Alligator mississippiensis: one gene and its partners. The protein of the gene in region 4 purifies or fractionates together with the protein of the main gene of each other region. This does not show direct contact. Links are inferred from orthologs where the notes say so. Each region holds a gene or a part of one and is shown on either strand. Other genes may lie near its edges. The genes, in order: MNT, BRD8, YAF2 and MAX.

Evidence for each region.
Region 1: the proteins of MAX (region 4) and MNT purify together in Homo sapiens (affinity purification with mass spectrometry; 7 studies listed by BioGRID and IntAct, with this or other methods). This does not show direct contact. The link is inferred for Alligator mississippiensis from reciprocal best matches to the Homo sapiens genes MAX and MNT.
Region 2: the proteins of MAX (region 4) and BRD8 purify together in Homo sapiens (affinity purification with mass spectrometry; 3 studies listed by BioGRID, with this or other methods). This does not show direct contact. The link is inferred for Alligator mississippiensis from reciprocal best matches to the Homo sapiens genes MAX and BRD8.
Region 3: the proteins of MAX (region 4) and YAF2 purify together in Homo sapiens (affinity purification with mass spectrometry; 3 studies listed by BioGRID and IntAct, with this or other methods). This does not show direct contact. The link is inferred for Alligator mississippiensis from reciprocal best matches to the Homo sapiens genes MAX and YAF2.

Annotation. Positions count from the first base shown.
Region 1 is NC_081837.1:7,592,185-7,600,072, reverse strand, and holds the start of MNT (max-binding protein MNT), read left to right. Parts: upstream 1-4,870; 5' UTR 4,871-5,065; coding exon 5,066-5,138; intron 5,139-7,888. UniProt on the Homo sapiens protein: Binds DNA as a heterodimer with MAX and represses transcription. Binds to the canonical E box sequence 5'-CACGTG-3' and, with higher affinity, to 5'-CACGCG-3'.
Region 2 is NC_081832.1:79,523,580-79,531,241, reverse strand, and holds the start of BRD8 (bromodomain-containing protein 8), read left to right. Parts: upstream 1-4,617; 5' UTR 4,618-4,686; coding exon 4,687-4,705; intron 4,706-4,837; coding exon 4,838-4,934; intron 4,935-5,277; coding exon 5,278-5,347; intron 5,348-6,523; coding exon 6,524-6,573; intron 6,574-7,662. Other genes in the region: kinesin-like protein KIF20A, read right to left, coding at 11-169, 455-620, 704-847, 1,401-1,472, 1,624-1,735, 2,412-2,606, 2,766-2,907, 2,983-3,170 and 4 more. UniProt on the Homo sapiens protein: May act as a coactivator during transcriptional activation by hormone-activated nuclear receptors (NR). Isoform 2 stimulates transcriptional activation by AR/DHTR, ESR1/NR3A1, RXRA/NR2B1 and THRB/ERBA2.
Region 3 is NC_081827.1:58,022,615-58,029,996, reverse strand, and holds the start of YAF2 (YY1-associated factor 2), read left to right. Parts: upstream 1-4,374; 5' UTR 4,375-4,601; coding exon 4,602-4,627; intron 4,628-4,755; coding exon 4,756-4,881; intron 4,882-7,382. UniProt on the Homo sapiens protein: Binds to MYC and inhibits MYC-mediated transactivation. Also binds to MYCN and enhances MYCN-dependent transcriptional activation. Increases calpain 2-mediated proteolysis of YY1 in vitro.
Region 4 is NC_081825.1:171,679,940-171,687,549, reverse strand, and holds the start of MAX (protein max), read left to right. Parts: upstream 1-4,607; 5' UTR 4,608-4,711; coding exon 4,712-4,747; intron 4,748-4,892; coding exon 4,893-4,919; intron 4,920-7,610. UniProt on the Homo sapiens protein: Transcription regulator. Forms a sequence-specific DNA-binding protein complex with MYC or MAD which recognizes the core sequence 5'-CAC[GA]TG-3'. The MYC:MAX complex is a transcriptional activator, whereas the MAD:MAX complex is a repressor.

The DNA of each region.
Region 1 (7,888 bases), on a different chromosome or scaffold from region 4:
GTCTCCTTGTCAGTAAAACAGAAATAATTATGTTTACCCCAGTAGTGGTGAAGACTGATTAATTTGTATTTCATATTACGTTATAGATGAAAAGTGATGAGTATGGCTGCTGTAACCGATCTGCTCTGAATGTTGAAGATTTCAAGCAGCTTGATAAGGCAGAGTAGTCTTGATGCCAGAGTAAGGCAGCGTGCTGAGGAAGAAGAGAGGATTCTTGGCACGGGGCTATGCCAGAAGATCCTTTCCTCCATTTCTTGAGTTTTCTAGGACTTAGCTGCTATTAGCAAGGTAGAGGTAAAAGGCAACTTTTTCCCTGGTCCTCTGGCAAGAAAAAATATGTTTTGGTGGGTGATTTGGGTTACCTTATTTTTAAGGCAAAGTTTAAAGCTGTGAGGGCCAGCCTTTTTGGTAGACACGCCACAAATTCACCCCAAGTGCAATTCCCGTGCCATTCCCTTACTCAATTGGTTGCATTGCCTTCTGCTCTCTGCCTTGTGCTTCCTGTCTGGTTTGCTGCTCTACTTTCTGCTCCCTGCCATATCTGCCACTGCCTTTCCCCTCTTTGATTTGCCATGTGCCACCCCTGGCTGGCCACTCCTGGTCTAGAGCATTTAGACTTGTATCCACTGTCTGTGATGGGGGAAGGGATTATGTTAGGAATTACACTGTGATGTCAAACCCAGATGTGCCCTTGGGATGGGCAAGGACAAGCACATTTAAAATCATGCTGGTGGGATAAGGCTAACCCTAGGGAGAATTTCTAATACACTAGCTTTGAGCATATGATCATGTCTCAGTCTCCACACAGCCAGTTGTTATCTTACAACTAAAGGAGCTCACATTCTTAGCTCAAATGGTAGATGCAATGAGGTATGCCAGCAAGAGACTGGGTAGTATTTTCTGGCCTCATTCAGGGGAAGTGGGGCAGGATTACAATGAGTTATATTGCATCACAGGTTGGAGATCAGTATCTATTGATTCAACTGTCTCCTGTTAGAGTCTGGTGGTGCTGAGGATCCCAGGTGCATCCCTTACTGATGGCCATGGTGTTGGTCTGGGCAGATGGCCATGGCTCATTATGAACTCTAGGGACCAATAGCAGTTCTGCCATAAAAAAACTGAAGCTTCAGTGCATAGCTGGTGTTACAGTCATGCCATCAGGGTGGTTGCATCCTTTTGGTACCCATCTTATCCCAAATGCTGGATGAGGGTGGGAGCAGCAGCTGGGGGAGGGATTGGGACAAAAGAAAAGTAAATAGATTGGAGGAACTGATAATTGTCTCCAAATGTTTGGTGTGCTTCTGTGGAGATGTGTCAGGTCAGCATTGCTCCATGAAGGTCAGCAGAAGTAGAGTGCTGATAACAGCCCAAGATTTCTCTAATTGCTTCATCATCACTGTAGGGATCATTGTTACTCCTTCTGTCTCTTCTCAGCATAACTTTGCTAAGTGTCTCATCAGTTACGCTTGAAGCCACAAAGGAGCTGCAAAAATTTTACCTCTGGGTCACTGACTTTCTCATCAAATTTTGCTTTTTGCTTTGCTCATCAAATTGTGATTTTGTACTAGGTTGCACTTGTTCCCTTTTCTCCTGCTTGGTCTTTTCAGGCTCAATCTGAAACCTGCCAAAGTCAAAGGGAGTCTTCTGACTGTCTTCACTGGGCTTTGGATCTGATCCTTAGTCCTAAACAGTTGTGTCCTAGATGTCTTCTGTAAATAATACAATAGGAAGAAGGTGGTTTTGCGATATTGTAGAACTGGGAGTCAGGCGTCCCAGGTTCTGTTCTTAGCTTTACAGGCTCATTTTACAACCTGGTCTGAACAGTTTAATCTCTGATCTGTAGGTTCTGTCTGCAAAATTAGGATAGTATTTATCTTACCTACCACTTGAGGGTGTTGTGAGGCTTGTTACATTAACGGTAGTCAGTCAAACGCCTTCTGTCCTCCAGACAGACGGTGCAACAGAAATAACAAGTATTGTTTGATTCTGGTTTCAATGCACAGACAGTAACCTCACGGGGATCAGTCCAGAGGTTTTCCACACAAGAGAAAGGAGATGTCCACAGTGCCCTAGGGATCATTCTGCTGGCTCCTGGTATAACTAGAGGGAGGGGGGAGGTTGCTTCTCAAAGACCGATTTTGCCATTGCAGCCTCTGAGCCTGGGAGTGGATCTATGGACACTTTGGTAACGAGCTCCAAGTTATTTACTGCCGAGAAGCTGACTGTTCAAACCAAACTGTATTTAAAGAGAAGGCATTGCTCCAGGAAGGGGAACGGGTTTTCCCCGGGATCTCTGGAGCACGTACTGACAGCATTGCAGGGAGGCAGGTTTCCCCTGCTTTACCCGGGGCCGCTTGGGAGGCTGGGGCTGTGTCGTGCCAGGGCTGGCGGCTGTCTCAGCTGATGCACGACGCCGGGAGGGGCTGGACAGGGATGATCCCGCCTCCGTCCCTCCCTGCCCCACTTCTGTCGGACCGGGGCAGCGCAGTCTGCGCGGATCGCGCCGGTCCCGCTGCCCGGGAGGGGGGCGGAGGCGGAAAACGTGGCGATGCCGGACCTAGCCCAACCCCGGCGCCGCCTCCCTCGGGGCAGCAAGCACCCACGTGGGCGCGGCGCGGCCTCCAGCGTCCCTGCAGACCTGGCCCCGCTCTCCCCGGCCCACGTGCCCCGCTGCGGGAGCAGCCGGCGGCGAACAGGGAGCCCCGGGCGCCGGGCCCTTTAAAGGGGGCGCCGCGGGCGGCGGACGGAGCAGGGCGCCCATGTGGAGCTGCTCCATGCCGTGTTGTTCTCCCAGCCCATTGGCCCGCAGCCGGGTGACATATTTTAATAGGATGCAAACGCAGTGCGGGGGGAGGATCCGCTGCAAAACTCGGCGCCGGAGTCCGCTGTGCCCGGCTCGGAGGGTGGGAGCCCATCTCTACCCCTCCGCTGTCATCTCGCCGCTGCTCGGCACAGCCCAGCTGCCAGCTCCTAAAGAAGGTTGCCGGTCCTTGCCCTTCACAGCCCCCTCCCTCCTGCAGCCCTGCCCAGGGCGTTGTTGGGGCCCTGGGCAAGAGAGTCATTTGAGGCCCCTTAATGTTGATGACCTAAAAGCAAGTCGGACGTTTTCGATTTCATTTTCACTTCGCCCTAGCCATGAAACTGCAATGAAAGTATCTTAATACAATATTGATCAAACAAATATTCAGTGTAATTTATTTTTATAAAGTGTGGGGCCTCCTGCGGTTGCCTGGTTTGCCCCCTCCTAAGCCCACTACTGGCCTGCCCCTGTCAGGCGTTGGGCCCTGGGCATCGTGTAGCAGTCCAAAGCCCTGTCCAATGCCATGCAGACAAGACGCCCTACAAGTCTTGTAATTAGCTTCCCAGTGGCCAGCTTCCAGTGGCTGCACCCCTGCTTTATGGAAAGGATGCAGACAAATTGGAGAAAGTCCAGTGGAGGGCAGCAAAAATGGTTCAGGGGCTGGGGCACACAACTTCTGAGGAGAGGCTGAGGGAACTGGGTTTATTTAGTCTGCAGAAGAGAAGACTGAGGGGGGATTTGGTAGCAGCCTTCAACTCCCTGCCGGGGGGGATCCAAAGAGGATGGTGCTGGGCTGTTCTCAGTGGGGGCAGATGACAGAACAAGGAGCCTTGGGCTCAAGTTGCAGCAAGGGCAGTTGAGGTTGTATATTAGGAAAACCTTTCTTACTAGCGGGGTGGTGAACCACTGCAACAGGTTATCTAGAGAGGTGCTGGACTCTTCATCCTTGGAGGTTTTTAAGACCCAGCTAGACAAAGCCGTGGCTGGGATGATCTGGTTGGGGCTGGTCCTGCTTTGAGCAGGGGGTAGACTAGATGTGACCTTCTCAGATCCCTTCCCCACCATGACTAACAACAACAAATCCAGGTTGCAATAAAGCTTCCTAAAGACACAGAGTCTAGGCCATAATGGGTTGCAGGAGGGGTGAGATTTTTTTTCCTGGTTGCAATACATCTTGGTAGAGACATAGGGTCTAGGCCGGGGAATGGCAACATTTTTGGACAGAGTGCCAAGAACATCTGCAAACTGGGCTTACAAGATGTTGGTGTGCCAGGAACCACTGGTGGGGGAGCCACAAGGGGCCCGATCCTTATTGTGGCAGGGAGGTGGCCGGGGCTGTGCTGCCATCTGCCCTGAGGTGTGCGTGCCAAGCAAAATGCCTTTGTGACTGTGCCACACTCTGGCACCTGTGCCAGGGGTTGCCTACCCCTGGGCTAGGCCTAGCCATGAGACTTTGCAGGAGGAGTGAGATTTTTTCCCCCAGTCGCAATATATCTTGGTAAAGACACAGGATCTAGGCTTCTCCAGGATGGTTTAAAGGAGGGGTGACATTTTTTCCCCAGTTGCAATATATCAAACTAGCTGGGTACCTAGCTGGGGTCATTTGAGCTTTAACTTAGCAGGGGTCATAAGAGCCATGTATTCATTCCTGCCAGGGGCAGGGGGTCGGACTAGATGATCTGCTCAGGTCCCCTCCAACCCTACATCTATGAATCTATTTTGGTAAAGACACAGGGTCTAGGCCTAGCCAGGACAGTTTGCAAGAGGGGTGAGATCTTTTGTACATATTATTATGACTCTATTTCATGTTCCAGGTCGAATCAGTTCAAAATCATATGGCCTGAGCAGGTGAGATGCGCATCTCCCTGGAGCACCCACTAGTAAAACGAAATCCATAAAGCAGAGAGATTGAAGGAGTAAACCTGCCCTCCCCCCCCCCGCAGACACCTCGCCCGGAGTTAACTCCACCCCTGCACCCGGCGTGCACAGCCCCAGTCCGGCCAGCGGCGGGGATCCAGGCCGGGTTTCCCCCGTCGCCCGCCTGTAGTAGCCCAGGGCAGTGTCAGTCCTTTTTCCTTGTTGTGTTTCTGTTACTCATCGCCATCTTGTTGCAAACCCTTTTCTTGTCTGCAAGACTCGCCGGGGATTGGGCTGGGGGGGTGCTTTGCAGGGGCATTTTTGCACGGGGGGACAGACCAGGCGAAGGAACCCCCTCTATCCGAGCCTCCGGGATTGTGGCCCCTCCACCGCAAGGCAGCCCGAGAGATGAGCATTGAGACGCTGTTGGAAGCAGCCAGGTTTCTGGAATGGCAAGCCCAGCAACAACAGAAGACACGTGGTAAGGGGGGACAGCGCGGAAAACCGGGATCCGAGCTCTTTAAAGACACAGGACACCATTTCCCGCCGGCGGGGAAGCGACAGCGCCTTTCTCGGGGCCCGAGACCCGGCTGCGGGGCCGGGGCGTGCAGGGCGCCTCTTGCTTTTCGAGCTGATTTTGCAGCGGGGGGTGAAACCATCTTCCCCCCTTGAATAAAAGGAGGGTGGCAGGCAGGCAGGGGGCTCGGGCTTTTTTGCGGGGTGGGAGCGGAGCTCGGAGGAGGGAGGTGCTGACACATCCTTGCAAGGGCTCGGGGGAGCCTGGGGTTCCCGGAGATCCGCTCCCCTCCCTCCCCTCCCCCCGGGTCTAGCCCGGCTCGGCTCTGATCCCGGAGCCTGTCTCGCTCGCAGGCTGCAAACAGACTCTTTGATTAGTTTTTCTCTTTGCTTAAACGGTGCAAACAGTCGCATGCGAAAAGTAAGTAGCCATGGAAGCATGGGTTTGTTTTTTTTTCCCCTTTCTTTCCTGAAAACGGGTTTTTATCGTGAATGGGTTGGGAGACACGGGGTTTCAATGCGTCAAAAATGCACCCCCCCCCAAGCTGTTCTCCTGGCCGGCAGGCTCATGCCTGGGCTCGCATTTCCTGGTGGGGAGGATCTGCCTCCGCGGTCGTGGGCTTAGGGCGGTGGCAGGGCTCCAGCGGAGCGGGCTGAGGCTGCCTTTGCATAATGCAATGACACGGAGCGTCAGATGATACGCGGCAGTTCCTCCTCCCTCCCTCGTGTGTGATACATTGCACACGGCCTCCTCCCTCCCTTCCTCCCTCCCGCGTGCGTGTGTGTGTGTGTGCGCACATCCCCTCCCTTCCTGGAAACGTGCAGGGCCGGGGCGCCCGTGTCCCCGGGATCCCTCGTGGGCAGACGGGCCCGGCCCGCGGGCCGCCCCTCCCCCTTGGAATGTTGCGTGTCGCCGCGTTCCAAGCGCCTTAGTTCCAACCGGGGGCGGATGACGTGGCAGGCCCCGCCCCCTCCCACGTGCGCCGGGCCCCGCCCTCCGGGGCGCTGCGGGGCTGCTCCGCCGCTGCACTTTCGTTCTGGCCACGGGCGGGGGAGGAGGGAGGGGGGCTCCCGGCGGAGGTTTCCGCTCTCGGCTTGCCCATGGCAGCTACCCAGTCCTGCAGGGGCTGGGAGGAGGGAGCTGTTCTGGGCCGAAAGACTGAAAATCGAATAAAAAATAGGTCATCCAAGAATATTTGAATATTGCCCCCCCCCCATCTGCACTCCCCATGACTGTTTCATTCTTGCTTGCAGTTAACAAACATCCTGTTTCTTGCTCTCGCACATGCACACAGTTGTGGTGAAATCGATACTGTGTTAACCTCCATTATACTCCACGCTCTTTCGGGCTGATCCAGGGATTCCCGCTTGCTCCTAGGGAGGTTCCCTTTGTGTTTGGATGGGTTTTAAGGGCAGCTTTCAAATCATCTTCCTGGGACCGATAAAGAATTGATGCAGCGTGGGGGGTATTTCACTTTGCTTGTGCTTTGTGGGGGTGGTTTTGGCTGGGGAAATCTCATGCAAATAGCTTCCACCGTGAATCTACTTCAGAATAAAAAAAAAAGAACTCGCAGGGCCTTTCTGACCATTGTGAGAGCGAGGCAGGCCTGCGGAGGTTAAGCAATAGGGTAGGGAAACCCTGCTTCCAATGCATCACCTTTTCAGCAGCGTGGTCCAATCATCCTAATTACAGATAGCAAATACTGCTTGGCAGGGATGCCACCCTTTTCCTGTGTGCCCTCCCTATATTCTTTGTTGACCCTAATCCAATGCAGTTCACTCCTATAAGAACAAGGTTGACCTTTTCCAGAGGAAAAAAGGCAGTGTGTGTATGTGTGTGAGAGAGAGAGAGGAGCTGTGTGTGTGTGGGGGGGGGGGGTGAAGCATTAATACAGTGAATTTCACTGAATTTTAAAACCAGGTTCTTGAAAATTGTGCTATGCAGTCTCGTTTCTCCCATTTATGTGTGTATTTTTCTGTCTGTATGTTGTAAAGGGTGATGGAGCTGTAATGCAGCATTAGCTCAATGACACTGGTGTATACCTGCTGCAAAAGCAAGGATCTGTTCCCTTTGTGTGTCATTGCTGTGGGATGTAGCTGAAAATCTATTGTTTCACTGATGAGTCATGCAGGAGATAGTGGATGTTATGAAGAAGGGCAGCTTGGAGGGAATGGGTAGAAAAGCTTCCGGGATAACTAAGGAAGGAAACTATCCAGTGTAAGCCTACAGACTATCACAACACCCCCTCTTACACTGGGGCTAACATTGCTGAGGCCAAGCGTCACGCCTACACCCAGGAGCAGCACAGCTTTCAAAAATAAAAAAAGGGGTTCAGTTCATGCATCTGCTTCACAGTCTCCATGTTCAGACTTACTCCCTGGTTGGTGTGCATATTGTGGTGCCTCACTAACACACTCTGATCACCGTGTGCCAATAGAACAGGCTGGATGCATGAGGTGTGGTGTGAGGCTGTGCTGCTTATCATGCAATCATCCTCTTGGGTTGGGGGGGTGGGGTATTTTTTTTCAGGCCCCCAGAAATGAGCTAGGCACATCTTCAGAACAAAGATACAGCTCTTGCCACAGCCTGCAAGCTCTGTTCAGCGTGCCACAACAAGCAAAGATCACGTGCACAGGGCAGGGCAATGGTAGTAAGTCAGAAAAGGGGACAAGAGTGGCGCAGGTCAGTGAGGCTTTGAGTCATCTTGGCTGCTG
Region 2 (7,662 bases), on a different chromosome or scaffold from region 4:
CACCACCCACCTCCTTGTTATACAAGGACACATCTGCTTCATCTCCACCCTCTTCGTCAGATTCTATTTCCTGCTTTGGGCCTGCTTCTGAGCTCTGGCTAAGACGTCTGTGTTCCCTCATGATGGACTGGATGGATGGGAGAACCACTTTTGCAGGAGCTTGAACAAGCTGAAGAGAAAACAGGTTGCTGACATGAGCCTACATTGCCTGCAGACCTGATGGCATCAGGCCAGTGCTCTCTTGTCACAGCCAGCCTCACTGTGCAAGATGGCAGGACCTGGGAGCACAGTGCACCTTGGCAAGGACTGCCTCACCCACTTGCACCGAAGGGCAGCAGCTCACTTGCATAGGAGCTGGAGGAGGCCTGAGATCCAAGCCAGCCACGGGGTTCATGGAAGATCCAGAGAAGCCCCTGCACTGCCAGGGACCGCAGCACTTGCGCATCTCACTGACCTGGCTGGCGAGTGCTGAGAACTTGGCCACATGCAGGGTTTCATCATACATGGACGCACACTGGCTAATGTTGACGATCATGGAGGAGCGCCCACGCCCTGTGAAGAATCCCTGGAACACACGGGTCAGCTTGCTGTCCCGGAAGGGAACCACAACCAGCTTCAGCCTGTTGGAAGAGCACAAATGTGCTGAGCCTGCAGAAAAGTATGTGGGTAGCCCCCGTACCACCCTGGTCCCCAAGCTACTCACTTGGACTGCTGGTTCTGGCGCAGGGCAGCAATGCAGCGGCCTAGCGTGTGCAGAGAGGTGTTGATGTTGTTTGCCTCCTTCATTCGGTCCCCGCTCTTCTGGTCCTTGCAACGCTCTGAGCCAGCAAGGTCACACAGGGACAGTCTGGAAGAGACCCAGGGCACTGCTGTGATTACAGTCCATGTGTTGTCATGCACCCACTCGAGCCTCAGGACAGCTCAGCCATCTCTTCTAGGAGGTTTGTTTCAAACAACACTACCAAGCTCAGGTCAGGGGCCCAAGCTCACCCAGAAATTCCCTGTTGGGTGCTGCTTTCCAAGCACGGATCCAGCAAGTATGTCCAGCTTGCTGCATCCCAGACATGAGTGTTAAGCTGCTCAGCAGCAGCTGTCATGAGGGCCTCCTTGGACGCAGGGATGGGGTCAGTCAGCCATGCTCATGCTGATGCAGGATGTTTTTGTGCTTCCCAGAGCAGCTTTGTTGCTCTCTCCAAAGGGAGCAGTGGGACACATGCACAACAGCTGCTCTCCACCCCCGCAGTGAGTTCCACCTTCTGAAGGCCCCCAAAGATCCATAACAGCACCATGGCCTGGAGAGCTCATGCAATCTGAGAATCAGAGCCAGGCTAGCAGGGCCCTCAGGTGGTCACTGGTCCAACCCCCTCTTGCTCATGGCAGGATCATCCCCAAGCACTCACTCGCTGATTTTGGGGATCATCTCACTGCTGCCCCCTGTTAGGTGAAGAATCCGGATGGAGAAGATGCTGTGACTGCAGGGAGCAAGGACAAAAAAAAAAAAATACACTTGAATGGAACATGCAACGACCACCTCTGGCACCAGTCCAGCACCTAGTTCCATAAAATGAGCCCTCCCCGCCACAACCTGCTGGAGACCATTCCTCTCCTCTCCCTGCCCCCAACCTGCGGCTGGAGTTCTGGTTCAGGTGAGTGCTGGCAAAGCTCTGGTTTTTCTGACCCAGCTTCAGGAGCTTCCAGGCCTCGTCGGCATCTTGGACGTGGATCCAGTTCAGATCTGAAAGAGCAGACAGGTGGGAAAGTGGTACAGATAGACGTGGTTTGCCTTCCCAGGCCCTGGCTACCTACCGCATCCTAGGCTTCACTGCTGCCAACAGCCAAGCTGAACTTCCCTGCATTGTTTGGGCCTCCTGAGGGATACCAGCCCAAGTTCAGCAGAAGGGAACTGCTGACTGTGTATAAAAATGCCCTAGGGCAGCGTTTCTCAACCCATGGGTCGAGACCCAAAAGTGGATCACAAGAATATCTCAAAAGGGTCACAAACAGACTTAAAAAATGGATTCTCCTTTTCCCACAAGAAAAATGCAGGAAATTGTGGCTTTTCCCTTGCAGAGTTTCAACCTATGAGGAGCTGTTTGGGTCTCTCCCACCATGCCCCACCCCCCTTCCGCCCCCCATAACCCACACACAGGGGGGCTGGGGCCTAGCAGGTCAAGAGTGAGAGGCACTGGGGCAGGACTGGCCGCTGATGTTCACAAATGGGTCCTGGTACAAAAAAGGTTGAGAGCTGCTGCCCTAGAGCAGTATCCCTCCCCCTACTACTGCTTGCTTTCCATGGGCGCTCCTGGCCACTCGACATTTCTCTTATCCACCCCAGGTTACTACTGTCTCCTGAAGGAGAGAGAATGATCCAGCAGGGTCCTTCCCCAGAGTGCTGCTGGGTCAGTTTCTACCTTTGACATAGGGATTGCCGCTCGGGTCTTCACACAGCCGCAGCGTCTGCCTCTTGCGGTTCGGGCCAGGCAGAGCCGGCTCTAGCAAGTCGTAGATCTGTTCGTTGTAAATCTCAAAAAAGGAGACCCATATGGAGAACTGCACGTCTCCCGAGGCATGGAGCGAGACACAGTCTGGATCAGCCCAGCGAGACCCTAGGTTTCAGAGGAGAATCAGAGGGGGTGGTAGGGATTGCAGCAGCCCCAGCAGATTGGAGGAGACAAGGGAGAGTTTCTACCCCTGCCCAAAGTGTGCTTCATCCCCTCCTACCCAGGACTTGCCCTTCCCCCGGCACAGTAGGGTCCCAGACATACTGTCCAGCTGGCTGCTCTCGGAGTGGTTGGCAAATTGGCTGGTAGACGAGAGGCCACCCACTCCACTGTCATAACTGCTGCTAGTGGCAGCCTGGAGCTGGGACTCGGTGTTGTGGCTCCTCTTCAGTGGAGTCAGCAGCTCCTAGGAAACAGGCAGAACGTGAGGCTGGTGCAGGGCACCCTCGTCCTTCCCCAGCGGACGGAGAAGAGCACTCACCTCCCGTAATCCCCCGTGCAGCAAGGCCAGCTTCTTGGTCTCTTCTTGTTGAACCTGCCGGCTGTCTAGCCAGGCCACCTCGCTGGAGAGCGAGGGCTTGAGATCCATGGCTCGGTAGAGCTGCTCTCCCACGCTATTGAAGATGAGTGCTAGGGAGCGGGGCAGAATCCCACCGTCCTTGCTGCTCCCTGGAGGAGAGGACAGCAGTGAGCAGAGCTCAGTCACAACACAGCAGCACTTCTTCCCTCCGAGGAGACCAGGTATGCCAACACCTGATGCCTCGCTCACCCTGGATGGTGTGAGTCTTCCCCGAGTTGGTGATGCCATAGGTATAAACCAGCCAGTTTTGCCCGTTCAGCACATCCTGCACCAGCTCCTTCATGGTCGCGTCAAAGAACGTCTTTTGTCCGACGTCTGGGCCGAAGATCTGCAAACATGATCACAGGGGCGTGCGCGGGACTTCCCTCTCCGGCCTGCTGCAGCCCTGCTCGTCCTGGACTGCCACCCACCTCCGACCCCACCCGAACCCCGGCAGAGCCGGCCCAGGCTGCTCCATCCACATAATCCTAGGAGCGCTAGACGTGCCCGGGGGCCAGCTGCGCCGGGCGCCGACCGGACAGACAGCAAGACGAGGGCTCCTGCTCCGCGAGCACGAGACAACGCGCAGCAGACGGACGCAGGGACGGGGCGGGGGAAGGGAGACACCAGGGGCTGGTGCGGGCGGCCCCGGTGCCGTCAGCGCAAAGCTGCGTGAACGGCAGGGCCGCCGTGCCGCGCCGCGCCCACGGGCACCCACCTACCTGCGTGAAGGTGAACCTGTGCGCCGCCTGGCCCACGCCGCGCTCCGTGCTGCGCATGGCGAAGGAGTCCGCGGGCGCCCGCAGGAGCAGCGTCTCCGGGCTCTCGATGCAGACGCAGCCCTGAGGAGTGCGGAGCCTCAGCCGGGGCGGGGGGCGGGGGGCGGGGGCCCTCCCCCCCCAAAGCCGCCGCCCCCGCCTCACCTGGTCCTCCCGCTTCTCCAGCTCGGCCGGCGTCAGAGGCCGGACCCGCAGGTGCACCCTCAGCCTGGCACCGTCCTCGGGGTCCGCCTGCGGAGAGCGGGGGTCACACACGGCCCCGGGTGAGGCCCGCGAGCGCCGCCCGGCCCCGGCCCCGCCCCCCTCACCTGCGGGCCGCCCGCCGCGGCGGGCCAGATGGCGGAGAAGTCGGAGAGCAGGTCCCGGCGCGCGGCCCGGCCCAGCTCGGCCGCCGTAGACTCGAGCACCGGGGACGACGCGGCCTCCTCGTCCGAGAACAGCGCGGGAGCGAGCGGCGACAGCGCGGCCTGCGCCATGGCGGGGCCTGCGAGAGAGAGCGGGCGGGAGGGCGGGCGGGTCGGTCGGCAACAGCCTCCTCGGCCCCCGGCCGGCCGGCCGGCCGTCCTTCAGGCTGCGCTGAGGCAGTGAAGCCGCCCCCTCCCCCCGGCCCGGGCCGGGCCACGCTGACCTCGGGGGCAGCAGCGGGTGCTGTGGTTTCAAACCGCGCGCTCCGAGCCGCCGGCCAATCAGCGCGCGCTCCGAGCCGCCGGCCAATCAGCGCGCGCTCCGAGCCGCCGGCCAGAGAGAGGCTGGGGGCGGGGCCGGGCAGCCTTCCCGGCAGCCCGCGCGCCGCTTCCCGGCGACCTTTGCGGTGGGCCCCGCCTCTGGCCCGGGCCTGGCGGCGAAGATGGCGGCGGGCACGGGCAGTGAGTGCCGTGGGGCCGGGGACGGGCCGGGGCGGCCCGGGGCGGAGCGGGGAGTTGGCGGGCGGGGCTGGGGGAGCCGAGGGGGGGCAGGCCCTGCCCGCCCGCCCCTGAGAGGCCCGTCCGTCCCCGCAGAGCACAAGCTGCTGAGCGCCGGCCCCACGGAGCCGTGGTCCGTCCGCGAGAAGCTGTGCCTGGCCTCCTCCGTCATGCGGAGCGGCGACCAGAACTGGTGAGAGCCGCGGCGCGGCGGGGGTTGGGCCGTCGTCGCGGTGGTGCCGGCTGCGGGGATGGGGACGGGGACGGAGCCGGGCTGCGGGACAAGCGAGGCGAGGGCCTGGCTTGTCGCTGCCGTTCAGCAGGACTTGAATCCTGGCTCTGTTTGCGCGGGCCGGTGCACGAGCCATCAGCCGTGCTCGGGCTGCGCTTGGGCGCTGGCCAGGCGGCGCCGCCGCGAGCAGGGAAGCTGTTCAGGCGTCGCAGCGGCGTCAGCTCGGCGGGAGCAGCCCGGTGTGGCTTGAGCGGGCGCTGGCGAGGGCAGGAGGCAGGGCTTCACCCGCTTCTCTCCCCCGCAGGGTGTCAGTCAGCAGGGCCATCAAGCCCTTTGCCGAGCCGGGCCGCCCACCTGACTGGTTCTCTCAGAAGGTAAGGGGGAGGCGGAGGCACTTCCCGCTGCCGGGGAGCTCTTGCTCAAGGGACTCCAGTTTCGGCCAAGTAGAGGGGTAGAAAAGTGGCCACTTAAAACGTTAAATAAGACTTTTAATTTAAACGTCAAACAGCTTTGCTTCGTTTTTCTCTAAAACTAAAATTTATATGAAAGCATATGTGAAAATAAAACAAAGTATATTGTTTTATGGTCTAAACTTGATATAATTTGATAAAAGGGTATTAGACAGAGCTAACACATTACACGCATGCTACCAAACTTCAAAGAAAGCAAAATTGCTAAATTTGTGGGAGACGAGTCTTTGGATAAATGCGATATCTCTCATCAGACCAACTCAAGTAGTTGGAAACATTCTTCTAAGCCAGCTTTTGGGCACAAACACCCTTTGTCAGGCTGAGGAAGCATCCGCAGATGGTCTGTGCTCTTCCTGGGTGGAGTGATATTGGATTTACCCAACGAGCCTTGACCTCCAGTGTCCTTAGACCAACGCGGCTAGGTCCAACACCCCTAAATTTGTGGAAGTCACTGTCTGAGCACCTGGCCTTGAGTCTATTGCAGCGCCAGCCAAACTGTTGCACAAGTCTTCTGCAGATGAAAAGAGGTGTTTTTTCTATTTCACTTATTCAGCTCATTCAGTGCGAATAGCTAAACGATATAAATGCAAAATGGGATTATAATTTATTATTTAAATCAAAGATTTTTGGTTGTTGATTTGAAATCATAGTTTAGATTTGTAATTTTAAGCATCATGTTGTATTCAACCTGTTCTATTACTAGCACTGATATTTTGGAGTATGACTGTTCAAAGATCAGGATCTTGGAAAACCAGGGGAGGACGTGTTAATTTGTGGGGCCACCTTTTTAATTTAATTTATTCTTTCCTAGTTTTTATTTGGCATTACAGAGCTGACTCTGTGGTGCTAGCTGACCCTCCTTATAGATGCATTGGGTACACAGCAGCTTGGGAAGTCACTGCAGCTTCCCATACTAGTACTGTGGCAGTATTTTCCTGCTACAGTACTAGTATGGGAAACATGAAAACATGCTCAAAGGCTACCTGGCTGTTAGAGGAGGGAACCCAAGAGCTTTGCCAATAAACTGAATTGGCTGTGTTGACTGTTCTGTGTGCTCTGACTCCCTCTGTTTCTCCTTAGCACTGCGCATCTCAGTATTCGGAACTCCTGGAGACCACAGAGACTCCCAAGTGAGTGCAAAGGCTGAGGCATGTGGTGTCTGCAGTACCTCTGGCGGGGCGGAGGTGTCATCAGTGCATCAGACAGTGCATTGGCTGCTACTGAGCAAGGAGGCGCAGGCACGGCAGAGAAATCTGGTCACACTGTGTGGGTGTGGAAAGTGAGCAGAGTAGGGCCGTTGTTTGAAATTACCCCCTAACCTAACAGGAGATGCTGGGTAGGTAATATTACCTAGAGCGTTTTGCTCATTTTTGTATGTTTTGTTACTTAGCTCAAAGGACTGGACCATTTCAAATGTAAGTGGTTCTAGAACTGGTCATTGTGCTATCCTGAGTGCTCATTCACACCACTCCTGTACTCATCCCTGAACCAGTGGGTTACAGGTATTGAGGCATCTAGGCTGCAGTTCCCAGCACAGCTCTCAGCTTGCTGGTTTGAGGAAGCTAGAGAGGCAACATAGTGTGTGGTAATTTCTATAAAAATGCTGCTTTTTTAAAAATAACTTACTTTTAAAAGGACATAGATTGCATACTAAAATAGCTTTGTTCTTTTTTATACAGCAGATCTTAAAATGAAACAAATTAAACTTATAAAACAAAAATTGTGTGCTTAAAATTACAGCTCAGAATACTGAAAATTTGGGAGAATAGAAGCTAGTAAGAATGATGAGCAGGAGAGCTAATATTTTATGTTGCCTTTTATGTACCTGCAGTATTTGAGGATTGTTTAGGGAGGGGCAAATGAAACCCTATTCTTCTCCTGGACACTAGCTTTGTACCAGTGAAAGCTGTAGTGTTCATCTCTTGCTCTGAATCTGGGCACTGGTGTTGGTAATTGATGCCTAAGGAAATTTGTAGTGTTTGAAAGTAGTATTTATGTCTCTGCTGTGCATAAATGACTGACATGGGCTTCTGAGATGGATTTATACGTAGGCATGGATAGTAAAAGTCTTTTTCCAAAGTTGAATTAACGAGGGTAAAAATTTGACAGGAATGCAAACACTCCTGGCCTAGGTTAGTAACCACACGTGTTTCGTATGAGTAGAGAAAGGCATTTGCTCTGTGAAAAAGTTAGTGTAGAATTGTCTGTTATGGGTTTTT
Region 3 (7,382 bases), on a different chromosome or scaffold from region 4:
GTTATTTCAAAATCATTGCTCTCTCAGTTGGAAGAAAGAATATGTTCCTATGTATAGTGGAGCAAGGGCAAGAGGGAAAAGGGCACAAGGAGTCAGGTTTTCCCATTGTTTCTAATCTTACGATTTCTTCACAGCATCCAGGTATCCAGTTGAGCACTGGACCCCCCACTACGTATCCAGCTCAGCAGTGGAGCCCCTAAGCTGTATCCCTCATGCAGACTAGGCTCTGTGTGACAGTATAAGGGAAAGAACAAAAGCAAAAGAACTGGGAAGGGTAATAGGGTAATACGGTGAAGGGTATGGAGGGCAGGAAGAGTGATGGTGTTGGTGGACTGTAATGGAGGAGGGCTGGAAGAAGTCAGGACAAAAAAAAACACCAAAAAAACCCCACATACCAAATAGAGCAGGATATTCAGACTTAAAATTTTTTAAAAGGAATGAACTATTATCACTGCTGTACAGAACTGTGAATGCTGGCTTGGGGGTGGGAAGGAAGCCAGGGCAAGAGACTCTGGATGGTTTTGGAAGTTTAAAGTTAATTTGAATTAACTGTGTGAAGACAATAACTTCTGTTCCCACAGTTTTTAGGAGTCCCATTCAGGGATGAGGATCCCATGGCAATATTTTTTTTTTTTTATTTGTACTTAAGAATCCATAACAACAAAAATATATCTGTGCGTGTGACCCACCCAGCCCTAGATCTCACCCAGTTGCTGCTTCCCTCATCACTCTGGCTGCAAGTCTCCAGGCTCCCACATCCTTCCTCTGCCCTTGCTGCAGGGAATGGGGACCTGAGGGTGAGCTAGCTTACAATTTCAGATCTGCCTCTCCCTCTTTCAGATATGCCTCTCTCACCTATAGCCCACAATTTCAGATCTAGCCTGAGGAGTTAAGGTGCAGGGAGGGAAGGGAGAAGGTACACTTGCACCAAGACCTTGCAGCTATGGCAAGGAGCAGTCATGGGCAGGTCTTAGCGCTGGCCTACCGTGGACCTGATGTAACACAGGGCTTTCTCGGGGCTGGTCTGTGATTGGCCCACCCACCTGTTTCTGGGCCAACCGCCTGCCTCCTCATCTGCCACACCTTGATGATACATAATTATGGTGTTAATTAGGCGGAAGGCTGCCTATTCTTGCCCTGATGCCAGGGGGCGTTATCTGCAGCTCTGTTCCTCCCCTACACCACAGCCCAAGCCTCACAGATGGCATCCAGGTTAATATTACTCTTGGCCTCAGACCAGAACAAACCAAGTCCAAAGTTGGGCTTTACACACATGCACATTCATGTCACCTCCCCTCTCACAGGAGGCCTCTTCCACTCCGCCCCTCTCTCACCCAGGCCTCTGGCATACTGCTCATTACCAGGCCACACTCCATTGCCCTGCTCCTCCTCGAGCAACTCCTCTGGGCTATCAGGCTTTGCTACTCGCACACTGGCCTCACCACGCAGCCCCTTCAGTTCCCATGAGTTCCCCTACTTTGCATGGTCCGGCATTATGCCAAACCCTAGGCTAACTGCACCCCATACTAGGCAACTCTATACACTCACACACATACTGGGCTCCCAGCCCTCTGGTTTCCCCCTCACTGGGGCTCCACACCCACCCCCTCACTGGGGCCACAGGGCTTCCCTCCCCAGTGGAGATTTAAGGTGGCTGCAGCCATGCCTAGCCCTGTCTGGGTCTTACACCATCCTTGGGCTCAGGTGGCCATAGCCATGCCTGGCCCCCTTGTACCCATAGTATTATGGGGGCTAGGAGTTAAGGCACCCCAACCCACCTTTCACCGGGGTGGTAACTGGCCTGGTATTTCCTGGGGGTTCCTGCACCACCAGGCCACCCACTCCCAGCAGGGTGCAGTTTTAGGTCATGCCCAGGACCAGGAACCTCCAAATCATCCCTTTAAGCTCCTGCCTGTACCACCAGGATATTACCTACAGCCTTGCAGCCAGGCAATGTTTCTATCTAGCCTGCCAGTACCGAACTGCTCTGTTTATATAGGCAGCCAGAGATCTAAAATGGCCGCCACAATCAAGCACCTGCTGACTGCTTGTCTCAGCCCTTAACGTGGCAGACACCAACAGTGCCCTGCCACACCTGAGCTGAGGCATTCTGGCTTACTGCTGATATTAATATATGCAGAGATGATCAGAGTGGGGTGTGGGGCCCAAGGCAAATCAGCCTGTTCAGGGCCCTACCCCAGGACGCAAGGAAGCCAGCAGCAGATTAGGCAGTGTGGGGACTGCCAAATGGCCAGACATGAAGCTGGTGGCAGCATGGAGTCGCCGCGGCCGCTCCGCCTGGCTCTGTGGGCCCCCCCCAGAGCATGGGGCCCAGGGTAGTTGCCCCAATTTGTGTTGCCTAGGGATTGTCCTGAATATATGAATGCTTTTCACCCTAATGCAGTTCCATGGCTAGCTTCCTAATGGACCTTCACGGGAGTGGTACCATTTTTATCATGGAATGGGCTAGCTGTTACAAATATCATTCTAGAATAATGTGAAAACTTGATTAAAGAAGGAAGGGTTTCCACACCGATTTGAAATGATCAGATTCTGAATTAGTTTAAATGTCATCTGGATTGTTATTCCATTTGTCATCAACAGAGAATGCTTCATTCTCTGTGGCTTTGTGTTCTTTGTCCTGAGCTTTGACCAACATTGTTCCAGAGGAATGCAGCTATCTTGGAAGTTCCTAGCCCTAGATGGTAATATAGTCTTGAATTTACTCAGGGCCAGATCAATTAATTCCTCAGAAGAGAATAACTGGGCATGTCTACATGTTCATTAATGCACCGTAATCACAGCACATTAAGTTTACTACCTGTAATGATAGGTATTAAATGTGCTGTAATTGATGCTACCGCGCATTACAGCAAACGCTTTTTTGTGATGTTAAAGTGCATTACACTAAGTATATTGGGCATTAGCGCAGTTTTGCCAGCCACGCTAATGCGCACTAGACTTAGTCTAAAACATATTAAGATCTTGTGTAGATGCGCCCACTAAGGCCTTGAAGTAGCAGTAGTAGCATACTGAGCCAGCCCTTTGCCCACCCCACAGAGAAGGTGAGAAGCCTCATTCTGCACTAGCTATGAAACCTCCACATTGCTTTCAGATTTATATTCAGGGAAATACCCTTATCCAGTCCCATGGATACCCTTATCCAGCTGACCAACCCATGGATTTCTGAGGCCTGGTCTTTGCATGAGAAGGAGAAGTAAAGTTTGAAGAGGTGGAAGGATTGGATCTTTTGGACTGAATATTGGCTCTCTGAGGCTTGGCCTGCCATCAGCCTTTATACAGGACACAACATGACAGCACAGACTGTCTTAAATAGTAAACACAAATGGCTGTCACAGGTATGCAAGGTGGACAGTACAGCAATGTGTTTACAGCCTGCATGAAACGCACGTGCCATCACTGCAGAGCAGGTCTGTTCTCTCACCTACTGGAACCCCAGAGGAGCAGGGCTGGAACGGACCCCCAGAGGTCACCTCGTCCAATGGTTTTCAACCTTTTTCCATTTGCAGATCCCTAAAAAATGTTGAGTGGAGCCCTTGTGACTGCTGGTAGCCATGTTTATGGGCCCCTCAGACATTGAAAACCACTGGTCCAGCCACTCCCCTGCCTAAGGCAGGCCCACCCCTACCCAAACCGCCCCACCCCAACTAGGGTTCCCAACTCTGTTTGCATCTATTCCAGGAGGTGCCTGGAACACCCACATGCCCATGACAGACAATGTGAACTTGTGTGTATCAGTTACACATTACCGTGCATCATTGGCGATGTGTAGGGGGAGGCACCAGTGGCCTGCGCTGTGCGTAGAGTTGAGGTCAGGGAGGCAAATGCACATTCCTATTACATTTAAAAAACCCACTGGGGCCTACTGTATAAGTCAGATTCAACATTTAATATTTAGCTTAAGGAATGCCCTATCATTTATCTCCCAGGTGGCTCTCCTGGAGATCTGTATCTAATCCGGGAGACTCTAGGGCAATCCTGCAGGGTTGCCAACCCTAATCCCAGAACAATTTAGCAAAACAAGCCCTGCCACAAGACAGGACACCCCAGCGCAGCCCGGGACAGCAGGGCCACGGCGCGGGCAAGGGCTAACGTGCCCTCCAGAAACCCCAGGAAGAGGCCCCACAGCCCGAGCAGGGGGGAATCCTCCCTGCCCTCCCCAGGTCTCAGCAGGGGAGCGCCCGCTCCGGGGTCCCGCGCCCGGGCGCAGGGCGGCCGTGCAGGCCTCCCCCTGGGCGGGCCGGCGGCGCTGACTGCCCCTGCGTGCGCTGCTGCTCCGCCTCCTCCGGCGCTGCTGGGCTGCGGGGGGCGCTGGTTGGCGGCGGGCGGCACGTGAGGCGGGAGGGGGCAGCGGCGGCGGCAGGAGTTCCCCGACAGCTGGAGGTGGCGGCGGCTCCTCCTCCCCGGGGCCCGGTGCAGGCAGAGCCCCCTCCTTCCCTCCCTCCCTCCCTCCCTCCCCCGCCCGCCCGCCCGCCCGCCCGCGCTCGCTCGCTCGCTCGCTCGCTCCTCCTCAGTGACACATACACAAAGGGCCGCGCGGCGCGGGGCCGGGCCGGGCTGCGGACGCGTCTGGAGCCGGCATGGGAGACAAGAAGAGCCCGACCAGGTAGGGGCGGGGGCCGCGCGGGCGGGAGGCCGGGGCCGGGGCCGGGGCCGGGGCCGGGGCCAGGGCGGGCGGGCGCGGGGCGGCTGGGCGCCGCGCCTGTCTCCCTCCCGCTGTGGTGTGCGTTGCAGGCCGAAGCGGCAGCCGAAACCCTCTTCGGACGAGGGCTACTGGGACTGCAGCGTCTGCACCTTCCGCAACAGCGCCGAGGCCTTCAAGTGCATGATGTGCGATGTGAGGAAGGGCACCTCCACCCGGTGAGTACCGCCCGCCCCGGCCCCGGCCCGCGGGACCCCGGAGCGCCGAGCTGTGCCGCCGCGCACAACAAAAGCCGGCGGCGGCCGCGGGGGCGCTGGGAGGAGGGGGGACACAGCGGCCTGGCGCGCAGGGCGAGGCGGATCCGGGCCCCGGGGCTGCTCCCGTTTCCCCTCGGATGCAGCCGCCCCTGCCCTCTCCAGCCCCATCCCCCCACCTTGTCCTGCTCATCTGTCTCCCTTTAAAGCAGTGATTCTCACCCAGATGCGTCCTTCCCCCCCAGACGCACCCCAGCGCATTGGATTCTTACAAGGGTGCTGCAGAGGGTGCCCATGGGTGCTCCCACCATCACATGCACCCCAGTGGGTCAGATTCTTGCAAGGGTACTGCGGAGGGTACCCATGGGAGCTTTCCCCTCTATTGCCCTCCCCCCGTGCGTCAGATTCTTCTAAGGGTGCTGCGGACAGTACCTGTGGGTGCTTTGTCCCCCAACAGGCACCCCAGTGGGTCAGAGTCTTGTCAGGCTGCCTCAGAGGGTGCCTGTGGGTGCTTCGCCCCCAGTGTGTCATGTTCTTGCGAGGGTGCTGCGGAGGGTGCCCGTGGGTGCTTCCCCCACCACACACATCCTGGTGCATCAGATCCTTCCAAGGGTGCTGCAGAGGGTGCATGTGGGTGTCCCCCCAACACATGCACCCTAGTGGGTCAGATTCTTGCAAGGGTACAGCAGAGGGTGCCCGTGGGTGCTTCGCCTCTAGTGCATCGCATTCTTGCGAGGGTGCTGCGGAGGGTGCCCGTGGGTGCTTCCCCCCACCACACGCATCCCAGTGCATCAGATCCTTCGAAAGGGGCTGTGGACGGTGCCCATGAGTGCTTCCCCCCACCACACGTGTATCCCAGTGCATTAGACTCTTCCAAGGGTGCCACAAGGTTTCCAAAAAGAAGTTGGCGGCATGGTTGGCAGTCTGGCCTGTTGGGGTCTTTCTGAGCATGCAGCAGCGGAAGAATTGCCCTCCTGTCTTTCTGTAGGCAACAGAGGAATGAAAAGTAAGATGCGGCTATTTCCTGAGGGGCGCCCTGAGCCTCCTGATGGGTGCCTTGAGTCTTAATAAGGTGGAAAGCTACTGCTTTTAAAGGCCTGCCCATTCTCTTGTCCATTTTGTTCCACCTTGTCCTGCAGATTTAGTTTCTGTAGAGGTGGGGAATTTATTCTTTCTGGAAAGGAGCCTAAATGGGCTGAATTATAGGATGCAGAAGCCCCCCACCTCCCTGCCTGGACTAATCAGTGACTTATTAGAAGACCCTTTTTCTGTCAAAATGGTGCAGTGATTTCACTGGTTTTGACCTATGTCTCTGTAGGTTAATATTAGTAGGGTGGAACCTGGATAGGAGGATGGGGAATTCTGCAGAATCAACAAGAATACAATTGTGCAGTCTTTTGTGTGTATAAGTTTGTATGACTATGCTTATTGTTTCATCCTATTAACAAAAACGAGTCTAAAAATAATAGAAACCACAGTCCTATTGAGTGAAGTAAACTTTATTTCAGCCATGGAAATACTGAATACAACTCCATCAACAAACGTATGATAAAACAGTGTTTGAACTACAGAATTGCAAAAGTGAATAGATTAACTTTATATGAAAGACTCATCTGCATTTGCAATGTGCATGTATTAGATTTGTGAAAAACGTAATTCACTTTCTAAAGTATTTTTAATAACTTAAGGTTAGTTTTAAAAAGGTAGTTTGTAGAAGGAATTTTTATGAGAAAATCAGTCAGGTATGGTTGGTAAGCAAAAATACATCTCATGAATATGGTGTTATTCAGTGACAAAAAGAAGATTGGCTTTATTCTTATATCAGTTTTCACAGCTATACCTTTTTTTTTTTTTTTTACAGACCAGTAACATTCAGCAGAAAATTATAATGCTGAAAGAGTGAGTGCAAAATTCCCCAAACAAGTTTAGTACAAATGAAGATGACAGCCTCTCATTGCCTTTATTAAGGAGTCAAAGCCAGTTAAAATAGTGATTTATTGTTCTGGAAAATCACTTGAACAAAAGTATTAATTTTTAAAGGTGGCATTGGGTAAAAGAGAGCTCTGGCAAACAAGTGATATTATACAGTAAAAAAAATGAAGATTTAATTTTGTTTTTCATTATTTAGTGAAGTTTTGCTAGGCACAGTTTAAGTAGATTTATTGATTTCCATTTCCCCCACTTAAAAAAAACAAAGTTGTTTGAAATCTTTTTTCCCTATAAGACTGAAATGGATCCCATTTCTACGTTGTCATTATGCCAAGTCTTGGATTTACTCATACCTGTTAGATACTTGGGTACATGATTCACATGCATGCAGATTGTAAGCTTTGATTCTGAGTTGGTTTTTTGTTGGTAAACCCTTGTTCCCATAGAGAGCTGTTTTTTAATCTGGGGCTTCACGCTGGCCTAGAGATGCATCTACACAGTTCTGTTTAGAATCCAAAACAAAGTCACATCTGAAC
Region 4 (7,610 bases):
AAACAAGGAAAGAAAATATTTAACTAAACTGTCCACACCATTATATGGAGTCTCTGGGGCCCAGCAACTTCTTGCCTTCAGTCCACCTGCTGTCTAGCCTCCCACAGTACCCATGTTGCCTGGGGTCCCTTATTACACCCTGTATTCTCAAAAACCCTTCCCATCCCACAACTCAAGGCTAGACCCAACTTCTAGCTCTGGAGCTAGGCTTTTAACATACTGGCGTTCCACCTCTTCCAATCACATGACATCTGACTGACCCAGGAGTTTCTGCTTAGTTTATTACTCAGCCTGCTCCTATCTATTGCAGTCTATCCAGTTCTTTAGATACCTGTTTACTCTTCTCTAGCTATCCCTGCCTTAACCGCCCACCAGATTGCAGCCCTCTAACACTGCCTTCTTATTCTCTTAGCAGCAGGGGTTAGGGAACCCTGCTACAATTTGCAGACACATGGACTGTTGCCGCAGGTTGGCTGCTCCATGAGAAGCCCCCACACACTGCTAATCTGATCTTATGTCTGTGCTCAGAGGAGGCCTCCATGTCTCCTTGTAGGTCTTTTCCAGTCTCCTGCATGCAGTGCAAACACTAGCACTACACCAAGAGCTCAGGAACTGTTTCCCCAACTTCCCCCTCCCCTCCCCAAAACAGCCTCAAACTCTACTTCTGTTCCATTTCACACCCAACAGTCATGCTTGGGTCCCAGCTGCCCCATCAGATACCATTCAGAGGTTATTCAGGGGCAGATACAGAGGGAGTGCAGTGGGGTGGCTACATCCCACCACCCCCTTTTGGCCTGGACAGTGCTGCTAGAGCCAGTCTGGGGAAAGCAGCCAGTTACTGCTGCATTTCCTTGTTGTTCTGGGGGTGGGGGAAACTTCAGAGCTGTTCCTGTCTACTCCAACTGGACTGTTGGGGTATGGGAGAGGGCTGGGCTCACCTAGGGCAGTGACAGCAACAGCAGCTTCCTTCCCCTGCTCTTGTGGGGTCTGGGAAATTGGACCCCCCCCCCCCATTCTAACTGCTGTTCTCAGCTAAGCCCAGCCCCTGCACAGCCCTGCAGGAGTGGGCAAGAGCAGCTCTGAAGCTTTCCCCCACCCCCACCCCCACCCCAACAGCAGGGAAGGCAGCATGATTGGAGGGGGAAGAAGAGAAGGAGAGTTTGGGGGATGCTCACCTGCTCTGGGACCTTTAAAATGCTCCCAGAGGCTCCTGCAGTGCTGTTTCCCCAACAGGTGGGTTGTGGGAGTGGAATCTGGGAGTGGGGGGTGCTCAGCTGGCTGCTCCTGAACCCCACTTTGCCAAATCCCAGACCCGCCCCTGAGGTTATCTGATCCTATCTCAGCATCATTGCCATCCAGGATGCACTCCCCAGCCAGCTCAGCTCCCCCAGATACATAATTTGCGGCCTTAACTAAGCTATGAAATGATACGGATGATGTTGCAGAGCTGACCTGCTTCTACTCTGCACAGCTTGGTGGCATCTGTCTGTATGCTTCTACTTCTACCCTGGGCTGCAGATGGATTTTGGGCACAGGACAGCTGGCACTTGAAAGGACTTGGGCCTCATCCCACTTGTGACTAGCTACCTGGCCCCCAGCAGATGCAGAGAAGATAGGGTTGAGGTGATGCCTAGGAGATCACTTGGATCTCATATAAGCCAGCAAAAGCTGGGCCAGAGCAAGTAACAGGAGTTACTGGCCCAGTGATGGCCAGGCAGCACAATCCCAAGGGAGGAGATGGGATTCTCAGAATACCTTGGCTGGGACAAAGGGAGAGTGACTGTGACATGGAACCTGTGCTACGCCAATCTATTTGGAAGCAGAATAAAAGGCCTGAAGGGTGACTATCTCTTACCACACAGGCTGCTGAGTTGAGTCTGACTCACAGGAACCCTGAGAAACACTCCCCATGGAAATGGTTTCTACAATTGCAGGTGTTCTCTTCTGGCCCTGCCATTGACAAAGACTTGTGTGATCAGGGCCGGATTAACACATACTAGGCACATGCCTAGGGCCCTGGGCTGCAGGGGCCTTGGTCCTTTCCTCTACGGCAGCAGCACAAACGGCCCCATCTGCCTCCCTTCCCCTCCCCTCTGCCTGCTTTGCCGTGGCTATGATCTCAACCAACCTGGGGCTCACGAGTTTGTTTGCGTAAGGAACACTAAAGGATTAGTCCAGCCCTGCGTGTGGCCTCTGCCAAGTCAGTCCTGGGTCCATGCCATGCTGACCATAGCAACTAGGGGTGCACTGATGGACCTTTTTGGGGCCGGTACTGATAGCCGATTTTTAAGGAGGCATATCGGCCGATACCAATCCAATTTCCAATACGCAGCCAGGCAGCTTGAAGAGCCGGGTCCAGCTGCTAAGTCTGTTGTGGTGGAAGGGGGAGTGGGGAGGGAATGGGCATGGAGGGGCAGATCAAGGCCCCTGTGGTGAGGGAGGGAGAGAGTGGGGCTGGGGCAGGGCAGGGTGCGGGATGGGAGTCATAGCTCATCTGGGAGGTACAGGAAGGGGGGGTGGGGGCAGCTCCTGCTGCTGCACACACCCTGGGAGGGCATGGGGAGCACGTGCCCCTGGATCTGTGTGGGGCCGGGCAGAGTGGGCTGCAGCTGCGGGCCGGGGTTGTGCTGGGCTTTTCCCAGCAAGGGCTGGGCTAGGCAATGGCAGCTATGGTGGATGGGCGGAGCTGCAGCCACCCCAAAATTTGTCATAGCCACTCAACCCCCCTCCCAGCAACACTGCCCACCCTGAGTGCAGCCTAGCCCAGTCCCCACTGGGAAGAGCCCGGTGCAGCCCTGGCCCCAGCCCACAGCTGCAGCCTGCCCTGATCAGGGGGCCACAAGCCCCCCCCCATGCCCTCCTGGGGTGCATGCAGTGGTGGGAGCAGCTCCCCCATCCTTGCACCCCCGAGCCCCAGCTGTGTCCCACACCCCACCCTGCCCCAGCTGGGCAGCACCTGCTGCAGCCCCACTCCCTCCCTCACCATGGGGGCCTTGATCTGCCCATGCCCCTTCCACTACAACAGACTTACCAGCTACACGCAGCTTTCCTTGCTACTGAGCTGTGCTCCTTGTTACCTACATGCTGTGCTGTGGCTGTGGGCACGCACAGAGCATTAATTGGCTACATCAAGCCAATTTCCAATACAGTCAGTTTTCTTTATATCGGTGCCAATCCGATACTGGACTGATGTATTGGTGCAGCTCTAATACCAACAGTGGACAACGCTCTTTTTCAATCATAACATGAAATGTTAGAGAAGCCTGTTCTGGTAGCACAGTTAACTTGGCCAACCAAATGCGCAACTCCTTGCTTAGGTGATGGGCAGGTGGGGCAGGCAAGAGCGCTGGTGTCCGCCCTGAGAGCGCCAGCTGGGGAGTGGGGGTGCCAGGAGAAGCAATCCCTGCAGTCCTCCCACGGTCCATCGTGCTGACCACAGCCCACCCCGCTGATCCAGAAGTGTTGCGCGACCCGGAAGTGCCAGCAGCACAGCACTTCTGGATTGGTGTGATCAGCCACGGGGGGACCCCCTTGATCATTGACTGGCTGCTGTTGCGCTAAGTGCTCCCTGCCCCCGCCTGGGGAGGCACCAGTCGCCCATGCCCTAAGCTGCCATCTTTGCCAAGGGCATCCCAGGATTTTGCTCACCACCACTGTTACCCACCATCACCCAGGCCTGCCCCCTTCAACCTGATGAACACCTGACATGCCGCTAGTAAGCAGTGATCACCCGCCCCTCGTCGGAAGAGAAAGTCCCAATCTAGAAACCTCCAGTCCCCGACCCGGGCGGCAGGTGCTTCGTTCAGGGCGGGAAAGGGCGCTGTCCAGCAGCTTGCAGCCCGCGGGGCCTGCTGGGGGCGGACGCGCAGGCGCCACGTGACTGCGCACAGCCCTGCACAAGGCCGGGCCGGAGGCAGCCGCGTGCGAGGCGAGAGCTGCTGCTTCCCGCATGCAGGTCAGTCTGGGGGGCATGTGCGGCCGCAACTCGCCGCCGCTTAGTCCCGGGCAGGGGGCACGTGCCCCCAGACGTGCGCGGGGCTCCCCGCAGTGGGCAGCCCACCGCGGCCTCCGCTCCGGCAGGGCAGGCGGTGTGTGCCGCTGTTCCCGCCCGCACGCCGTGAGTGAGTAGGAAGGGCGCGTAGGGGTTCTCGGCCAAGTCTTTCACAACTCTTGAACGCGAGGCGCTGGTTCCCGAGTATCTGTTCGGAGGGGCCTGTGCGCTCTCCCTCCGCCTGCACCCGCCTCTTATGCAGGAGGCTTGTCCCCCGCGCGCCCGGGGCAGGGCTCGGAGCTGCGAGGGAGGGAGTGAGGACCCGTACGACGCCTTCCCCCCCCGAGCGGAAGCAGGGCCGCGCCGCCCCATCCACGTGTCCTTCCCCGGCTGCTGGGAAGCGGAGTCCTTCCTCCTTCGCCGGGACTGCAGCCCCCAGCATGCACCGCGCCCACCACTGCGCAGGCGCGCGGGGGCGCTGGCAGGGACCGGGCTGCGCGGGGGCCTCCGGGAGTGGTAGTTCGGCGGGGGCGGGCGCCGGTGGCGGCCGGGCGGCCCGAACTCCATCCCCCAGCGGCCCCCGCGGAGCAGGGGCGGCCGCGGGGCGGCGGCGGCTGCGCGGTGCGGGCGGCTGCTGCGGCTGCTGTTGTTGTGCTGCCCGTGGCCCCGCTCGGCTCGGCTCGGCTCGGCTCGCAGCGCCCGCAGGCCCGGCCCGGCAGTATGAGCGACAACGATGACATCGAGGTGGAGAGCGACGTGAGTGCCGCACCCCCCCCACCCCGTCGGCTCGGTCTGGTCTGGCCCGGCCCGGCCCGGCTCGGCTTGGCAGTGCCGCGGGCGGGCGGGCGGGCGGGCGGCGGCGCAGTAACGCGTGTGTTTCTCTGTCTCTCTCTCCTTGCAGGAGGAGCAGCCGAGGTTTCAGTCTGCGGTACGTGCCTTTCCTTGCTTCCCGCCGGCCCGGCCCGGCCCAGCAGCGCCGCCGCCCGGGGTGGGGAGGGGCCGGGGCGGCGGGGGCCTCGCCCTAGACCCGGCGTCTGTGCGCGGCGCCACGGCCGCGCGTCTGCATGGGCCGACCGGCGGGGGCGGGGGAGGCGCGGCCGCGGGCAGGGAGGGCCGTGGGGTGGGTCCAGCTGCGGGTGGGCACTGGCGTGGGCTGCACAAGGCACCGGGTGCCGTGTGCGTGGGAGTCCCGCCAGGGTGAACCAGCTGGGGCACGTGGGGCAGACCAGACTGGCAGATGCAGGCACAGGTGTGCGATGCTTGGGGAGACCCTCGCCTGCAGAGTGCACGTCTTCCTATTGGGTGGGACGGCGCACATCTGTTTGTGCTAGGGGGGCTAAGCTGGGCAGGACATGTGACAGGCTGGGATCCTTGCTGCTTGTGTGTGACAAGAGCAAGCGTGCTTGGGGCAGAGGGACCAAGGACAGGCAGGCATGCGTGGGCCAGGGCAGATGGGTGAGCTGCAGAGAATGGTCTAGTAGGATGCATTTATGTGCTGGGAGGGAGGATGTGTGCTGGAAACATCTGGGCAGAGATTGAGGGGGGGTGCAATGCTCTGGGTTGGGCCTGGTGGCGGGGGGCAGAGGTCAGATGGAAGCAATCTCGCCTGGCATGTGAGTGGTCTCAGCCCAGCACAGGATGGGGGCAAGAGGTGGTGTGCAGGTGGGCATGTACTGATCTTAACCAGTAATGCAGGTGCTGAGGGGGAATGGTCTGTGCCAAATGTGTATGTGGGTAGGAGGCAGCAGAGCAATCTAAGCTGTGTCTATGCATGGGCAGGGATAGTGGGGGCAGTGGTCTCAGTGAGGCATGCGGTGACCCAAGTTGAGGCCAAATTATGGGTGATGCGTAGTGGGTGCACGTGCATCCCGTGTGAGTGCTGGTGCACCCCCTGACTGGCTGCACTCGCCGCTCAGGTCGCTGGGGGTGACACCACAGAGGGCTCCCCCCCCCCCTGCTTCTAGGAGCACCGCAGCTGCTTTTTCATAGATTCATAGATGTTAGGGTTGGAAGGGACCTCAATAGATCATTGAGTCTGACCCCCTGCATAAGCAGGAAAGAGTGCTGGGTCTAGATGACCCCAGCTAGATACTCATCTAACCTCCTCTTGAAGACCCCCAGGGTAGGGGAGAGCACCACCTCCCTTGGGAGCCCGTTCCAGACCTTGGCTTTGTGACAGGTCACTGACTTGTCGCTGGGGGGGGCCACGTGCCCCCCTCACTAAGGTGGCACCAGTCACCCATTGGCAAAATGGTCTCAGCTTGGTGTAGGGATGGGCTGACATCAAAAGGGGCTAGGCCAGGGTTGTGGGGGGAAATGGGCGCTGCCAGGTTTGAATATGGGAAGAGGTTGGGGGGAGGATGGTCTAGGCCAGGTATGTATAGGCAGGGATCTGGGGTGGGGAGGGAAATATTTTGGGCTGGGATTGTCCCTGTACATCAGGGTGCAGATTGTTTCTAGGTGAAGGGGCCAGCTGTGTTTGAGTGGGATAGAGCAGTGGTGGTGGGGTGAGTGTTGTGGGGCACATGCAGGGGTAGGCTGCAACGGGAAGAGTTGTGGGAGTAGGCTTAAGTCAGGTTGGTCTGTTGGGATGCATGTGGACTGGATTGTATGTTGTAGTGGATCTAGGGTAGGACAATGTGTGGTGGGATTAACTCTTGGGATTGATTGAGGCAAGGCATGAAAGTGAGTCGGGGAGGGAGTGGTGTGCATGGGCCACGCTGGAGGTTAGGTATGGAGCAGGACTGGCAGTGTGCTGTAGGCTGTGTCTACTCTTTCTTGCTATGTGTTCGCTGTTTTGAGGGGAGAGGCTGCTGTAGACTGTCAGCTGAGACTATAGGGGAATTGCAGCTGTTGTAAGAAGCAGGTGGTGTGAGTTTTGGACGTGGAGCAGGGTTGGGTGCCACGAATGGTGAGGGTTTGTGCAAGGGTCCATCTCTGAGGTTGGGGGACCCAGGTGCATATTGGGAGCTGCTGTGCTGAGATCCTGGGCTCGTGGGATTGCTGACCACAAGCAGGAGCCCTTTCTGAAGTCTGCCTTTCCTTGTGGCAGGCTGCCAGGCGGGACCAAGCATGTGCCAAGGCCTGCAGTTTTCTATGGAATCCCAGAGCGAGCATGCACGTGTTGCATCCCCTTGATCCGTGCCCTCAAGTAAAAGGTTTTCTTCTGCTTAAGACTCATCATGGTGCAGACACAGCAATGTCCTGTGCTATTGGCAGCAGTTCAAATATATAGGAAGTGGAGGAATTCTCTTCATTTGGGCAGGTTGATTTTCAGTGAGTTATAGGGGGACACCAAGTTTAGAACCAGTTTGAGTCGGTTTTAGATTCTGAGTGTTCTAGTTTGGCTGATACATTCCTCTGTGTCCCCAGCCTCAGAGCAATTGTGGTGCTGCTCTCCTCCAGCACTTCCAAAAACCTCCAGTCTAGATAATCTAGGTTGCAAAGTCCAAATGCTGGTGAATAAGGCTGGCTTGTTGGGTGACGGGGCCACAGTGTTTGACCACGGGCTCCCAGGGAGCTGCTTTTCAAGAGCTGGTATTCATTTGCAGAGTTTGGTATTTCTCAGGCCACCTGCTTGATTGTTTAATTTGTAGGGATTGCCTAGACTGTGACACAT